2 linked regions of the Alligator mississippiensis genome follow. The protein of the gene in region 2 binds, or shares a complex with, the protein of the main gene of each other region. Links are inferred from orthologs where the notes say so. Each region holds a gene or a part of one and is shown on either strand. Other genes may lie near its edges. The genes, in order: PLXNA4 and NRP1.

Region 1 (7,912 bases), on a different chromosome or scaffold from region 2:
AAACTCCCACTGGATAGAGATGGGAGCTGAACTGGGCTCTTTACCATTCTGTGCCTCAGTTTGCCCACCTGTAAAATGGGAATAATGCTGCTTTCTCACTGCTCTAGAGAGCTTTGAGGTCTTTGGATGAGGAAACCCATCTTCTGCAGATTTCACTGTTTTTTCCACGCTCGAGCTCAAATGAGCTAATGTGCTTTAAACTCCTAACTGCGTGCTCATCAGCCAGCAGTCAGACAGCACTTAGCAAGTATAAGCTGCAGCCACATTCAGGCTTCCTTCGCAGACAGGGAGCCTCAGTCATACCGATGTTTGGAGGGGCTATTTAGTGCATCACTCATATTTGGAAGATGCCCCCAACTCCACATAAAGAAGGAACTGGAAATAGCCCTTTGCCCTGTTCTTCTTGCCCCGAGAAGCACCAGTCAGCCTGTGCTTCATCAATAATAGGCCCTACAAGGCATTATAATGACAACCACACCTACGACTACTCATGCAGGTCGAAGGGTGGACTGCTGAATAGGATTTTGGGCTGGGACATGGGAGGCCCACGTGTAGTTCCCAGCGCAGCCACAGACTCTAGGTGCCCTTGTAGCTCAGGTTGTATTAATCAAACGGTTGTAACACATCCCTACGTTTCAAGAACGTTGCGATGATAAAATCCATTCATAGCTGTGAGGCCCTCAGGTGCTATGGTAACAAAAGCCCTATTAGCACACACAAAAGTGATGCAAATTCTCTTCAAAATATCCATATACGACTCCAGTCTGCAAAGCTTGGTACCACTGACCCCAGAACCGAATAATACCCCGATGCCACGCAACACTGACATGCTAGCCCGGCGCTCGGAAACCTCCAGTGACAACACGAGCAGCAGATTGCTAAAGAGCTTTTCCATCTCCCTGCCAAGCAAGGCGTGGATTTGAAAGCAGCACTAACCCTAAACGCACCGCGCTACAACGCGCTTACAGCTTACTTGCATCCGCGGCTCTCAGGAAGCTGCAGGACCCCCGGGAAGGCACACGGTAGCGTGCCCATTTGAAGGCAAGGAAACTGGGGTGGAGGGGGAGAGACGTGGCTTGTTAAAGGAGTCCCACAAGAGAAATCCCGAGTCCTGGCTCAGTCATGAAGCTGGAAGACTCCTGGCACAGCCAAGACCATTGCAAGTGAAGGCCTCCACCTTAATTATGGACCATTACAAACAACCCATCATAACTCAGCAGCCAAAGTCCTCCTGGGAGTGTCTGCCTGGCTGCCTGCCTTGCCTCACCACTTGCAGAGCCCCTCATTGCCACGTCTGTGCAGCACCAAGCACAGCGTGAGCAGAGACCTGCGGGGAGCTTGGCACGTAGGAAAATAAAGGGAAATGTCAGCATTTCCTTTCCCCAGTGGCGAGGCTCGGTGCATCTCTGAGGATCTTCCCTAGCACTCACCCCTGACGTACCAGGGCACTGGGCTGCCTACATGGACCAGACTTAAAAATGGTCTTTGGCGCCTAGAAGACAGTTACAATCATGCAGCAAAAGCTTCCAAAAAGCACCGTGATTGATCCTCGGGAGGTATTTTAAAACGCCTGTCTTGGACATAAACACCACTTAAATCTCACAGCTGTCATTTATTTTGCATCCTATCGATTTCTCCGCCGGCCACAAATTTAAGGCAGGACTGAATGGCAGGCTCCGGCTAAAAGCTGCAGCCAGTTCTCCGAGGAAGGAGCTCACTAGACAAAGTTATTTAAAGGCATCCTCGTGTAGCAGGTATTCAGGCCAAGGAGGGGGGGGGAAACCCAACAAAAACCCATCAGTTTGGAAATTTTTTCCTTCCAACCCGAACGTGCGAGCAAAGCAGACACGGAGCACATCTGTTGCACCGTTTGAAGCCCCGCTCGGATGAAACACGCTCTACCTAAGGGCTCCCAAATTTTTTTTTATTTTTTTTTTTAAAGAACAGACAATTCAAATAATAACCTAAATGCTGCTCTGATCCCTGAAACCTCGAGGCTATGACTCAGGGAAAAGAGGGAAGGGGGGGGGGGGGTGGAAAAAAAACACCACCTAATCTCCCGCTGAGAGGCACACATTGTAATTAAAAGGCAGAAAAGGCAAAGACAAGCCACCCCATGCGCCGCTGGTCCTATCCATTCAAAGATTATTGGGTTGTTTTTTTTTATGAACGATACCCGAGTGAAACAGAGGGCAGATCCAAAAAGAAGGTAGCACGCTTGATGCCTTCCAAAATATTTGCGGAGACCCGATGCATGCTAAAATAAGGACTCGAGAGGAGGCGGCGGGGGGGACCGAGTCGCCTGTCACCCCCCACAAAACCCCCTTGGCCGGAGGGACGGCGAGCGGTGCCCACCCCTGCCCCGCTGGCGTGCCCCCGCGCCCCTCGGATACCTGCACGAACTTCCAGCGGCGACATCGCCTGCTCTTTGTGGCAGAGGGAAGCCATGAAAAGCAGGTGGATGACAACCAGGCGCTTTTTTGCAGGGGAATAAACCCAAGCGGCGCTGACTCCGGGGGGAAGTTTGGAAACAGGAGGGGGGACTCAATGAAAGGCAGCTAGCTGTCTTTCTTTAATTTGGGGGGGGTTTGAAAGGGAGGGATAAGGAGGGTCTTTCAAGCTGCAACTTCACACAACCCATGCAGAGGGGTTTCTCTGCATCCCCGCGCTCACCTGGCAGCCCGCGGAGGCTGCGGGGCACCCCCATCCCCAAGGGGCAGAAAGCAGTGAGGGGGGTTTTGGCTCCTCCATGCTACAAGGGGTGGAAAGTTTGGGAGCTGGGCAAGGCTGGGTCTTACCTGGCGGCGCCGGGCTGCGGCTGCCGCTTCCCCCGGGCGCTCAGCGCCGGCGCCGCATTGCCGCTGCGGCGGAGCCCGGCCCCGACCCCGGAGCCCGGGCGCGGGGGATGCTCACTCCGCCATGCCCGCAGCCCCGAGCCAAGTTGTGCGGGGCCGGAGCGGGGCTGCTGCTGCTGCTGCTGCTGCTGCTGCTGCTGCTGCCACCTCCTTCGCCTCGCCTCGCCTCGCCTCGCCTCGCCCGCCGCCGCCCGCGCACTGAAGCGCTGCCAAGTCTGCAACTCCCTCCCTGCGCCGCGGCGGCTCGGCTCGCTCGGCTCGGCTCGCTCGGCGCGGCGTGGCTCGCTGCTGACACCTAGGAGCGCCGCCTCCGCCGCGCCTCCCTCCTCTGCCGCCCCTGCCTCTGCCTCTGCCCCTGCCCCGCCGCGCCGGGATGGGATGGGACGGGACGGGACGGGGCGGGGAGGAGCCCCCGCGCGCTCCCTGCCGCCCGGCAAAGACACCACCTCGTCCCCACCGGGGAGCAGGGATGGGGGCTGAGCACAGACCGGCTGCAGCCTCCCCTGCTGCCAGGAGAGAGCTAAGGGCGGGGAGATCATCCTGCAATAGCCAGTGGGGAGAGCATGTTGATCTCTGCTGGGGAGCAGGGGTGGGTGCTGAGCCCGGAGGAGCCAAAGTCTCCCCAGGAGATAGCCAAGGGGGGGAGATCATCCTGCAAATAGCCAGGGGGAAGATCACCCTCATCTCTGCGGGGGAGCAGGGGTGGGTGCTGAGCCCGGAGAAACCTCCCCAGGAGATAGCTAAGGGGGGATCATCCTGCAATAGCCAGGGGGAGATCATGTTGATCTCTGTCGGGGAGCAGGGGTGGGTGCTGAGCCCGGAGGAGCCAAAGTCTCCCCAGGAGATAGCCAAGGGGGGGAGATCATCCTGCAAATAGCCAGGGGGAAGATCACCCTCATCTCTGCGGGGGAGCAGGGGTGGGTGCTGAGCCCGGAGAAGCCAAAGTCTCCCCAGGAGATAGCCAAGGGGGGGAGATCATCCTGCAATAGCCAGGGGGAGATCATGTTGATCTGTGCTGGGGAGCATGGGGGTGCTGAGCCCTGAGGGCAGGAGAGAAGGCACCGTCAGCCTCGTACCAGGGGGATGGGTGCTGAGCGCAGACAAGCTGCAGCCTCCCCTGCCACCCAGGAAATAGCCAGGGTGGAGATCATGTTGATCTCTGCGGTGGATCATGGGTGGGTGCTGAGCCCAGACAGGCTGCAGCCTCCCCTGCTTTCCAGTACATAACCAGGGTAGAGATCATCTTGATCTCTGCCAGGGCTCATGGATGGGTGCTGAGCCAAGACAAGCCAAAGCCTCCCCTGCTGCCCAGGAAATAGCCAGGGTGGAGATCATCCTGACCTCCATCTCAGCTCGTGCGTGGGTGCGGAGCCGAGACAAGCTGCAGCCTCCTCTGCTGCCTAGAAAATAGCCAAGGTAGAGATCATCCTGATCTCCACCTCGGATCATGGGTGGGAGCTGAGCCCAGATAAGCTGCAGCCTCCCTTGCTTCCCAGGAAACAGCCAGGGTAGAAGTCATCTTGATCCCTGCCATGCATGGGTGCTGAGCCCTGAGCCCAGACAAGCTGAAACCTCCCCTGCTGCCCAGCACGTATCAGCCTCAACCATCCCTCTATTCAAGGATGATCTCCATCCCGGCTCACAAAGCATCCCCAGCAAATAGCCGGGGCAGAGGACCCTCTGCCACAGCTCGTGGATGGGTCCTCAGCCCTGACAGGCTGCAGTCTCCCCAGCACATGTCCTCCTCACCCGTCCCTCCGTTCAAATATGATTTCTACCAGGGCTCACAGGTGGGCCCTGAGGTGACTCAAGTCCAATCCTCGAGCCACAAACCTGTCCGCACAAGTGCGTCTTTCCTCCAGGGAAAGGAGGCTGCAGGCTGACAGCCCTCTGCTTTTCCTTCCTCTGTCTCCCCCCTTCTTCCCAGCAAATATCCTTATCCTCAGCAATCCCTCCATTCATCTCTACCACGGCTCATTCGTGGGTCTTGCGGTGACTTAAAGCATCCAATTCTCAAGCCACACGCTGGTCCGCGCAAGTTGCAGGTCTGTCTGCCAGGAAGAGGAGGCTGCAGGCTGGGATTTCTCTCCTACCCCCTCCCCCAGGTCCTGCTTGCCAGCCTCGGAAACCCCCTGTCCCCCACGCCACCCCCTGACCTGCTCCAGTTGGGCCCTCCTCAAAGGTGGAGGAGCAGTGCAATGCCCAGGGTGGGAGGAAAGCCTTGCTGCTGGGATGTGCAAATCAGCTCAAGCCAGGGGGCTGCAGCTCAGCTCCTTACCAAAAAAAGCCATGTAGCCTAAATGCTCAGGTGATGGGCATTTACAGAGCAGGCTGGAAGGGATCCCAAGGGTCCTCTAGGCCAGCTCCCTACCGGAAAGGCCCAGGAGAGGGAGAGGAAAGAGAAAGGTCAGGGCCAAGGGCTCTGGTGCTGGATCCATTATGGTTGGGAAATAGTTTGGGTCCAATCCTACAGCTGCCTCTGTGCAGGGCTGTGTGCACACAGCACCCAGCAGGCCCTTCCTCCAAGCAGGACCACGATCCCAGGACAGCCAGCCTGCACGCGCTGCGGCGGCAGGGACTCACCCTGACTTTGCACAGCACCCAGGCTCTGCTTTGTGGCCAAGGCCTCCCCAACACTAATACATATGAATATTTCAAAGCACTATGTTCTTATTTCCCTTTCATGTGCATGCAGCAAAACACCGGGGTGAAATCTATTTCCATCCCCTTCTGCCCCGATGCATTTATTTTTAAACAGTATTGTGTATTCCTCAAAACAAGTTTGATCTCTCCTTCTCCCCACCTGTGTGTATGTACATGTGTACATGGACTGAGCTCTGGTTTACATTTCCTGATGGATAAATGTGGATTCAAAGCCCACCCTCCAACCCCCCTCCTTTTAAGGTGGCGCATAAAATGTATTTATTAGGCTTTATCTCCTGCCTCTTGCAAGGAGTCATTTGTTTTCATTCAGAGAAATGAATGCCATGCAAAACCTGAAGAGTAATAACAGCACAAAATGACAAGGGAAGAGCGAGACAGAAATCCGAAAGATACAATGGCAGGTGAATAACCTCGGCAGATCGCTGCCGCCGTGAGCGGTACGGTATTATTTAATGTCCATTCTGACATGCGCTTGGATATCATAATGCACGTGAAAATCCCTGGGAAATTTGGCTCAGCATTTACAACTCGGCCGTCCTTAGAAGAGATGATCTGGGTTTAGTCCTGTTCCTTTCTATTAGCTGGGGAGGAGGAAGAATTAATTAATAGGAATTCCTCTTCGTTCTTAAAAAACAATGGCTGGAGTCAACGCATCCCTCAGCTCTCTGGAGTCCAGAAAAGAATGAGTGACAAATGAGACTTTATTTATAGGCCCTTTCATGCACTCGGCAGTGGGGGGAGGAGAGGGGTCAGGACTGGATAACCCACGCGGCCTCCTCTGACCCGAGGAATGCTTGCAGAAAAAGAGCCCGAGGGTATGCGGGGTCCGGATCCGCAGAGTCAAAATCAATGGGATTATTTTTGCCGTCCACTATGGCGTGAGCAGGATTGTCCCCAGCCTGCTGACTGCAAAGAGAACGGGCCTTATCCTGAGCATCGCTGAGGGCCCGTGCTTTGCCGCCGATGGTGAGAGCTCAGCGCTGATCAGGATCGAGGCCTGACTTTACATTAGTGTGGACTGAGTCTGGCAGGGGAGAGCTGTTTCCGTGCTGTCTACCTGCAGTGCCTGATTCCCCCCTGCTGTCCAAAACATCCTGTTTAGCCTCCCATGGCTAATAATGTCCTAGATTTTGATACAGTCGCTGCGCTCCCCATTTAAACTCTCGGAGATTTCTTCCCCGATGGCGACTCGGTAGATAGCTACCGGCACACGCAGCCTTTCATTTTGTGCCTTGTTATCTAGCCACATACAGGGATCATTTATGACAACACCGAAGGTTTCTGATCAGAAAAATATATTTCTTCCTAGGGTATTTTTTAACTTGACTGTCCCTAATTATGCAACAGAGAAGCCAAAATTAAAAAGGTAAAAAGAAAGAGGACGACTCCAACAAGTCTCCCTCCTTCCCCCACCATTTAACAGGTCTGTAAACCAACCAGTTCTTTAAGTTGATAGAAGCCAGAGATGCTTGTTAACTAAGTCAGCTGGCGCAGCTTTCCGATTTGGTCTGCGTTTCTGCAAATCTGAGCAACTGGCGGTTAAAAACCTAAATTGTGGTGCCACCTGCAGGCCGCCAGAAATTTCAGCAGCTCTGGAAATCACTTAATCCAAGATAAGGAGTGTTAAAAAAACAAAAACCCTGTGGGATGGGGCTGGGGTCTCTGCTGATGTGCGCCACAGTGTGCAATTGTGCAGAGATGCACTCCCGGGTGTGCAGGTGCCCGGGATAATGCCACTTCTAAGCTCCCCGAGGGCCCTCATTTCACCTTGCATCTCGCAATGGTGCCCCAGGCCCAGGTTATCCTAGCATGGCACACCTCTCGTTGCTCACACGTCCTGTAGGAGCACCTTCAATCAAAAGCTGTTAAGTTAATTTAATTTTCCAAATGCTAAATGCCACAATGATATAGTAATAGCTGGGGCTGCTGAAGGAGCTCTGCTCAGCTCTTCGATTTCCTGGATCAAAATCCTGATGTCCCCCCCTCCCCTTTCTCTTTCTGATGTTAGAAGCTTAAACAACTTTCCTAGCTTTGCTGACATCCAGAGACAAAAAAATCGGCCTCCCCTTCCCAGTTGTCACCGTCTCTGTTTCTGACAAAGAATGTCTTTATCGTGCTATCAGAGTGTAAAAATTTCATTACAATCTGTTTTAAAGCTGGTCCAGTGCTTTGCATTGTCATTCCTTGCACTCCTGGGAGGAATGGAGTCAATCTATTGCTTTTGGGATTGGCCGACACAGGGGAAGACTGAGCAGATTGCACAGATTATATGCCCCGGTTGGTGCCAAAGAAAAAGAAGTGGGAAAATGGAAAGGGAGGGTCTTGTCTCTGAGTCTTTGGCTTGAGACATACAACACCCACCTGGACAGACCCCTGGAAAATTTAGTGTTGAG
Region 2 (8,184 bases):
GTTTCTTTTAGATTTAATTATCTCAGAGAAGTGTAATCTCATTAGGCAACAAGTTTTAAGTGGAAAGGGTCTAAAAAGATGCTGTCTGCCCCCCTGCACAGCTATTTGATAATAAGCCTGGCCTGTGTCATTGACCATCAGGGGTTGTCTTGTAGTCCCCTACTTTGCTCACAGCAGACCCTTCTTTTGTTTATCAGCCCATAAATCTAAGCAATTTGAAGTTATCAGTGCTCTTTAAATCCAGACTAACAGAGAACAAAGTGCATTTAGTGAAGCAGAAATCATTCAGTATTACTCCTTTAAGGAAGTTTGTTCATGCCTGGGGACCAGATCAAAGTAATGAAGCAGAACCGCTTTCTCCCCCCAAAAACAACAGCAACAAAAGGTTTATTCCTAAACAGTTGAAAAAGTTACCAGTCACCAGATGCAAGTATGAAATTTAGTCTTCTACATCTTGCTCCTTTGCAAACAATGAAATATGATAATGTTTTTTAGCAGACTAAATAGAGGAAAGTAATGCAAAGCTAAAAGGGCTTTGCCAAGTTGGTTGTTCCATTGTCCAGGATAGGCTTGCATTGTCACATTTCATTACTATGGATTTCCTACTGCGGATCTTCAGCCCAAAACACTTTTCCCCCATATACCGATATTTCATTTTCAGCAATAAGATATGGCAATAAACTATAGAAGAGAAGCAGGTATGCACTAATAAATAAGCCCATGTATCACTATTTCCCAATAATGGTATACACTGATTGTAACACTGTATCTAATAGATTCCCCGTGGAAGGAAAATGGCATTCCTTGCTCTCAGCATGAATTTATGAATGTACAGAATTTTATTACAGGAAAACCAGGTCAAATGGAAATGAAAGATGAAGTGTGCATCAAAAATGCATAAAGCTACACGCATTATAGAAATCATTTGCTATAAATTATAAGGGAAGGAAGTGATGGAGTCTATGTTTTGTTTTTTTTTTTCCCAAAGACCAGATATTCCTACCCATGCTATCAAAGACTGCATATTCCTACCCATTCCTAGGATGGCACTAGCTTATTATCTGTTTGCCTTTTGGCTTTGGAAACCATTTCCCCCCCATTGCCAAGAACAAAAGGTACTGCCCTAAATGTGCCACTAGTGATCTTTTTGCCTATGGTTCCAACAGACCCTTGCATTATTTTCAGCGTGTAGCAGACTTGGAAAGCAATCCTGCCTCATTAAATCCACTTCAGCTCTGTGCAAACAACATGGCAGAATCTGGCATCTGTTAAATGAGTGAAATAAAACAGTGCTGTTTCTAGTCACTTGACAGAGTCACTTCAGGAGATGTAGAGGTGCACTCACTACCACCAGTGCTCTTTAATCTGCGACTTCTGGGAAAGTGACAGTATAATAAGATAATGTGGTCTGTTAGACTCCCCGGCTCTGTGAAATCTCTCTGACACTTGATTAAGAAGAGCAGTTTCTAATGTCTTCGGGCCGTTTGGACTAAATAAGGTTAATGAATTAATTCAGCAGGCACTGGTACTGGATGAGGGTGGACAGGGCATTAGTAGGTCTGGAAAGTCACAGGCGAGGTTAACAGCCTTGGTGCCTTGATAGGGCTACTACATCATGTCTATGACTATACACAGGGAGCCTGCTCCTTAGCTCCAGCAACAGCCGCCGCCTTCCCTGTTCCTTCCTGAAGGAAGACTATTGCCAAAGCACACCCCACACATCCCCATCACCCGGTCCCATGCAGTCGGTACAGCCCCAGGATTTTCCCACGCTGGCCTCTAAGCCCGGCCCGAATAGGGAGCAGCGGGGTCCACCTACACAGTCTGCTTCAGACTGAAAAGGAGGGGCACTGCCCACTCCTCACCTCGGGACCCCACTGGAGCTCACTAATGCTGCCCCGCTTCAGACTGGCACAGGGCAGCTCGCTGCGGGAGGGCTCCAGCCCCGCAGCCTCCTCCAGCGCCCGGGGAAGAGCAAGGGGGAGTCCACTCCCTCCCTGTGCCAGCCACGCCACTTGTGGTCTCTGTTATTGAAACCATATCCCACTGTAAGCCTCTTCCTTTAATCACTTGGATTCAAAACCCAGTCAGGCCAAAGTAAATATTTGATCATTAGTTCATGGGAATGGCTCAGGGTTTACTGGGAGAGGAAGAACTGAGGCGAGCTCTTTCCTGTCAAACAGTCCCTAGCCTGCTCCAGCCCGGCTGCGCCGCGGGGCCGCTCGGGAGGCTCGGCGCTGCGTGTCCAAGTGTCGCCTGAAAGTAAAGTCTCTGCCAAAGTCCTTGTCAGGGGATCCCCGCCCGGCCGGACCCTCCGCTGTCCCCTGCCCGCTCCGGCGCGGGGAGCCGCGGGCTGCCGGTGCGGAGGCGTGAGGGCGGCGCGGGCGCGGGCGCGGGGCAGGGATCGCCGACACCTGCGGGGCCCCGAGCGCGGCGCTGCCCAGGGGCGGCCCCGCCGGCGGCGGTCGTGGCGCTCGCTCGCTCCCAGCTGCCCGGCCCCGCCACTTACCGCTCCGCAAAGCCCGGGCGAGGGCGAGGGCGAGGGCGAGCGCCGCGCAGTGCAGGAGGAGTCCCCAGGCCATCTTCCCTCGTGGGCAGGCAGCAAGCAGAGGGGAAGCACAAACCCCCGAGCCGAGCGCCCCCTCGGCACCCGGCTCGTCTCCGATCCCAAATCCTCCCGCGGGCGCGGGGGCAGAGGCGAGCTCCGCGGCGGCGGCGGCTCAGTCCCGGCGTCGCGGCTCGGGCGCCCGCACCCGCGGCTCAGCTCCCGGGCCCCGCGCTCGCTCCGCGCCCCGGCGGCGCTGCCCCGGCCATGCCCGGCCCGGCGGAGCCCGGATCCTGGCGGGGCGGGGGCGGGGGCGGGGGCAGGGGCGGGTGGCGAGCCTGCGGGGACACGAGGGAGTGGAGAGGCGATGAGGGGGGAGCCCTCGGGCGACCTCCTGCCTCGTGCGCCCTGCCCTGCGCCGTCCGGCTCGCGGCACCCGCTTCCCCGGCCGGGAGCTGCCGCTGCCGCTGCCGCTGCCCCACCAACCTGGCCGGGGCGGGCGGCTCAAGTGCGAAGCTCGCGGGCGGCTCCTTCCCGCAGCCTGCGAGCGGGAGCGCGACTCGCGGCAATAAGAGAGGCAGAGGAGCCGCCGCTTGCCGAGCCCCGGCCCCTCCCCCTGCCCGCCCTCCTCCTCCTCCTCCGCCGGCTCCTCCTCGCCCCCCGAGGTGCGGGCAGCCGGGCAGGATCAGCCCGGAGCCAGGGACGACCCGCCAGCCCGCGGCCGCCCCGGGGTGAGGGGCAGGCGGCAGCCGGGGCATGGCCGGGGCTCCCCCAGCGCCCCCTGCAGCGCCTGCGAGGAGACTCCCCCGCTCCTGCCCGCCGCCGCCCGCTGCCAGGGGCTCGCCTCCCCTCCCCGTCCCATCTTCGAAGTCTTCCTTCCCCAGCCTGGGTGTCTTCTCGCCCCTTACCACAACCTGTCCTGCCCCCTCCATGCCAGGGGGCCGCCTGTGTCTTCTGGGGCAGGGAATGCCCAGCACCAGATACTTGGCAAGCAGATCACTGCATCGCTCTGCCCCCAGCACCAGGGCACAGGCGCTGGCTGGCGAGCAGCGGGACAGGCTTGGGATTACAGGGGCCTTGGCATCTTTCTTTCCTTTCTGTCCGGCTGCCATCCCTGCTTTGCCCTACTGGCCTGCCTTGGAGACCTCCCCATTGGAGCCCTTTACGCAGGGCACATGCAGCTCCTGGATTCAACGGGACTGCCTTTATTGTGGGAGCTGTGGTAGGGGTAGAGAAAGGCCTCTAAGGGCTGAAAGGTGGATGGGTCTGCTCTAGGAAACAGCCTACAGCTGCATGGTCCTTCTTCCTCCCCGGTGCTGGGAAACAATTTGTTACTAGTGTACAGCAGGGCCAAGCACTGTTAAAACTTACCACCACCACCACAGCAACCAAAGCATATTAGGGAATTCGTTCCACAAAGAGATTTTTTTAGAGGATGCTGTGAGAAAATGATTTGACGCTATTGAGGCCAGGGTCATTTGCCTTGTGCAGTAGAACATAAATCCCTGTCCCCTGTAACTGTGGTTGAAATAATTTTCAGACACAGTTGTACAAGTCTGCAGTTGCATGCAACAAAGCTACAAACATGTTGTATCCCTGCTGAGAAATCACACTCAGCCTTAGACTCCTCCAAACTTGACTCAATCTCACCTCATTTCCATTATCCATTCTTTTGTCTTTCTGAGCAGATGGTCCTGTCCTTTAAAGAACTGACTATCTAGCTCATCACTATTTTATAGTATGCCCTCTATCATAATTGTTGTTCCTGAATGCCAGGCACAGGACCAGATAGTCTTCTTCTGTTTCCTGATTCCAGTCTCATCATATCCAAAGTTCAGCTGCAATTTGTTCTCCTAATCATAGCTGAATACCCACTTCTTCTCTTTCCTCCATCTCAACCCTTACCTATGCCTTCGAGCAGACTGGTTCCTGGCTCATCACGAGCTGGCTGCCAGCTGCTAGTCAGACGTCAATACAGTAAGTTTAGTCTCAGCCTTTTCTCATTTCCCTGTCTTCAGCCAGTCTCGGCACCCATCATATACCTCTTGATCGATTGTGATGTATATTTTATGGATGGCACATTAAGATCCACCGGATTTCCCCGCCTTTCTTAGTGATATTCCAGCAGCTTGGGGAGGGGGTCTGGGATGACTTTGCTCTGATTATTAAAGAACAGATGCTGAGTGGACACAGTGTAGCACACCCCTAAGATGGTGCTATCCCTAATATAACTGCTAGGCTGACACTTTTGGAGACACAATGTAGCTTTTTCAAGGAGGTGTATCTACTTTTTGAGTTAGTAAATTCCATATTTAAGGTTGTCTGTTTGAGTTTTTAATAACTTGTGTTTAAAACAGTCTCAGAGGCTGAGTATAGTCTTATTTTTACTTATTGAACAAACACCCAAAGAATAAGTGTATTAAAATGTTACACATCATCTGAAAATGATGGCTGTCTTCCTTTGGGACTAGTGTTGTTCTGTTGTGCATCTCTATGAAGTCACAGAGAGAATAAATCCATTCCCAAATGCATTATTCTAGGGTGCTCCAAACAAAAACCCATCTGTCTTTTGACTTTGTTTTCCTAACAGATACGCAAGTTCTTTTTTCATGTATTAAATGTATATTCAGCTTTAGAGTACTATTATTTTGTATATTTTAAAAGAAATGTAAATAATCAAAATTAAAATAAGTCATGTAAATACAGAGCAAATAGATTCACCATGTATGTGGAGGCAATATCCATGTACTATTTTGCAAAAAAAAGTGATGATTGCTGCTTTCACTACCTCACCTGTCTGGTGAGCACTAAATCCACATCCCAGGACTATTTACAACAATCTAAGGCAGGGCTGTCTTACATCTAAGGGGCTGGGGGCCACATAACCTGTGGCTCTTGGCCTCTCAGTCCCCAATCCCTGATTGCTGCACTGTGTACTTGCATGGTGCCCACTGCGGTACTGCACACCCACTTGGCAACTCCTTCCACAGCTGCAGTGCATCCTTAGGTCCCCAAATCACCCTGTACCACACTTCCCTGCCCCCTGGACTGGAGACAGGAAGGGGTGGGGGGCAAAGGTGCCAGAGACCCTGGCTGCTGTTGCATTTGGAGTGACAGAGGGAGTGGCAGACTGGCAGGAGCCTGGAGGGGGGGGAGGTTTGCAATGTAACCCCTTGAGAGCTGTATGTGGCCTGCAGGACACCAGTTGGATAGCTGTGTACTAAGATATAGAGAATCTATGGTTCCTTTTCCCTTATAGAGACGTGTGCACTAGGCTACAGATCCAATTTTGCTACCAGACAGCAGCAACCTCCTTTAAAGCAGGACTCCTTCCTTTCTTCAGAACTAAACTGAGATCTTGAGTTAGATTTCCTTTATATTATTCTGAGTGTGCATGATATTGTACTACAACTCAGCATACGAACATCCTTTTCTCTTATCATATGTCATCAATGTTTTTTCTGTTCATCTCTTTCTTGCAGACATCCATATGCACACTCTTCCATCCATGTATGAGCATCATCAAATATTGTTTGAAAGCACCTTGCCCCCAGTTTCCATTTATTTATTATCTGAACATGTTGAATCTTTAATCATCTAAAATATAAACTAGAATCAAATGAAATACTCAGAAGCCTGTGTTCTGCAATCCATTTCTCACATTTTGGTTATTGCATTTTATTGTACTGATCCTGCAAATGCTTTCATATGTGCTTAACTTTACATCTTTATATCAATAAAGTGATTTCCTAGTTGGGGCTGGCTGGGGTTATAACATCTGAATCTGAATCTACTTTGTGCCAAAGTTCATGGAGTGGTCACCTCTAGGCTTTTGGTTCAGATCCGTCTCTGCTTTGAAATTTGATTTAATGTTTATAATGCCTTATTGAAGATTGTCTCCACTTCCATTATAAACCTGCTTCTTGAGAAGTTTATAATTCAGCCATACCAAATATTTGCCCTTAGCTAAATCATGTAATATAAAACTTAAACTACCAAATGAAAAATATAGTTTGCCATTTAAACGACAGTAGAGAACAACTTTGAAGTTTACCTCTTTTCTGCACTCATGTAACTCAGAAGTAAATTTAATTAAAAAACGAAGTTTGGCAAGCAAATAATCATGAAGGTAGACATATTTATTTGGAGTTATTTTGAAAAAGAATAGAACAAATTAAAACCATCCAAGATATTAGCTTCTGACAAACAGAGATGTGCACTGTGACTTTATATCAAAGTAATTCCATTAGTTTTTATTGCAGATCTGGAAGCAAAGCTAATATGTGATAGTTTCTTTATCTGGTTCTAGTTCATGCTTTGTCTATTTGTAATCCTGTCTTCTCTGGCCATCCTGTTTCTCAGTTATCTGCTAAAGTAGTGTCTGTCCAAAATGGGGCTTTCATGTCATCTACTCTTCTGTTTCTTTGGATCCATCAACCACTTCCTCAAATCTCTTAGATGGCTTCCTGTCTTTTAGTGCCCTGAACTCAAGCTTCTTTCCCTTATCTTTAAGATCACGCATACGCTTGCCTTCCTCTACAGCTTTCTTTCCCCATATGTTTTCACCTCCTACAATGTACATCCTCCTACTCACTCTCACATACAATGGTTTTCTCTATCCTATAAGGTGTATTTCTACCCTGCCTTCTGCTGTCTCCAAAATGCAGCCACATATATCTGAAAGAGCCTGTTTCTCTTTCTTTTTTTCTTTTTTTTTTTTTTTGTACTGGAAGATCTTTTCCTCTTTCCTAGGCTTTGTTCTGTTCTATTCAGTTCCTTAAACTGTGCCCCTCATTGTGTTACCAGTAATCTCTCCTGGAATCTTTTCTACATCTACACAACCCTTTCCTTCCCCTTTTTCTCACTCAGCCATCTCTCTAAACCTTCCTTTTCCTGAACTATTGTTTGTGGCTTGACTTGCTGTTGTTTGTCTTTTCTGATTAGGCTGTAAAAAAAGGATATGTGAAGCATAATTTAATTTATGACACTATATTACCCTAACTGATATTTAATCATAAATTAGTAAGAAATAACAATACCTGGTAGACTAAAATGATTCTTAAGTAGTTATCACCAATTATCAAGGAAATAACACCTATAGATCTGTCTGAAGCTAAGGAGCTGATCACATTCCTATTGAGAGCAAGGATAAAACTTTCATTGGGTGTGTCTACACATGCATTTACACTGGCTTAAATTTACTGCACAGTAAGTTACTGCGCAGTAAGCGAGAAGAGACCAACATCTACATATGCAGGCTTCAAAGTTAGTCCCAAGACAGTCCACACAAAAAGTGTTACTGCGCAATAAGGTGTCTACACATGCATTACTGTGTAGTAACTAAACAGGCATAAATTTGATACCTGCATGATGTAGGTATCAAATTTATGGTCAAGTCAGCATAAGTCGCTGTATTTACTGCACAGTAGGCATGCATGTGTAAGGTGCACTCATACTGAGCAGTAATTTTGGTTACTGCACAGTAAATGTGCACTTGTAGATGCACCCACTGACTTCAAAGGAAGAGAAAGCATGCCCTAAATTGTGATAAAAGTTCCTTAGATAATAAGCTGGTTTTATCAATTTTAGCTTTTCACATTTGGTTAGAAAAATGATATACCAGTATTTGTGTTTCAATG

The links.
Region 1: the proteins of NRP1 (region 2) and PLXNA4 are in contact, whole or in part, in a cryo-EM structure (PDB 7M0R), measured with the Mus musculus proteins. The link is inferred for Alligator mississippiensis from reciprocal best matches to the Homo sapiens genes NRP1 and PLXNA4. Residues at the interface, in NP_032763.2 of Mus musculus: Arg80, Tyr84, Asp126, Tyr127, Glu128; in NP_786926.2 of Mus musculus: Glu272, Lys340, Lys343, Lys345, Leu349.

The regions. Positions count from the first base shown.
Region 1 is NC_081827.1:7,788,159-7,796,070, reverse strand, and holds the start of PLXNA4 (plexin-A4), read right to left. Parts: upstream 3,231-7,912; 5' UTR 2,799-3,230; intron 1-2,798. UniProt on the Homo sapiens protein: Coreceptor for SEMA3A. Necessary for signaling by class 3 semaphorins and subsequent remodeling of the cytoskeleton. Plays a role in axon guidance in the developing nervous system. Class 3 semaphorins bind to a complex composed of a neuropilin and a plexin.
Region 2 is NC_081828.1:193,671,992-193,680,175, forward strand, and holds the start of NRP1 (neuropilin-1), read right to left. Parts: upstream 3,098-8,184; 5' UTR 2,583-3,097; coding exon 2,510-2,582; intron 1-2,509. UniProt on the Homo sapiens protein: Cell-surface receptor involved in the development of the cardiovascular system, in angiogenesis, in the formation of certain neuronal circuits and in organogenesis outside the nervous system. Mediates the chemorepulsant activity of semaphorins.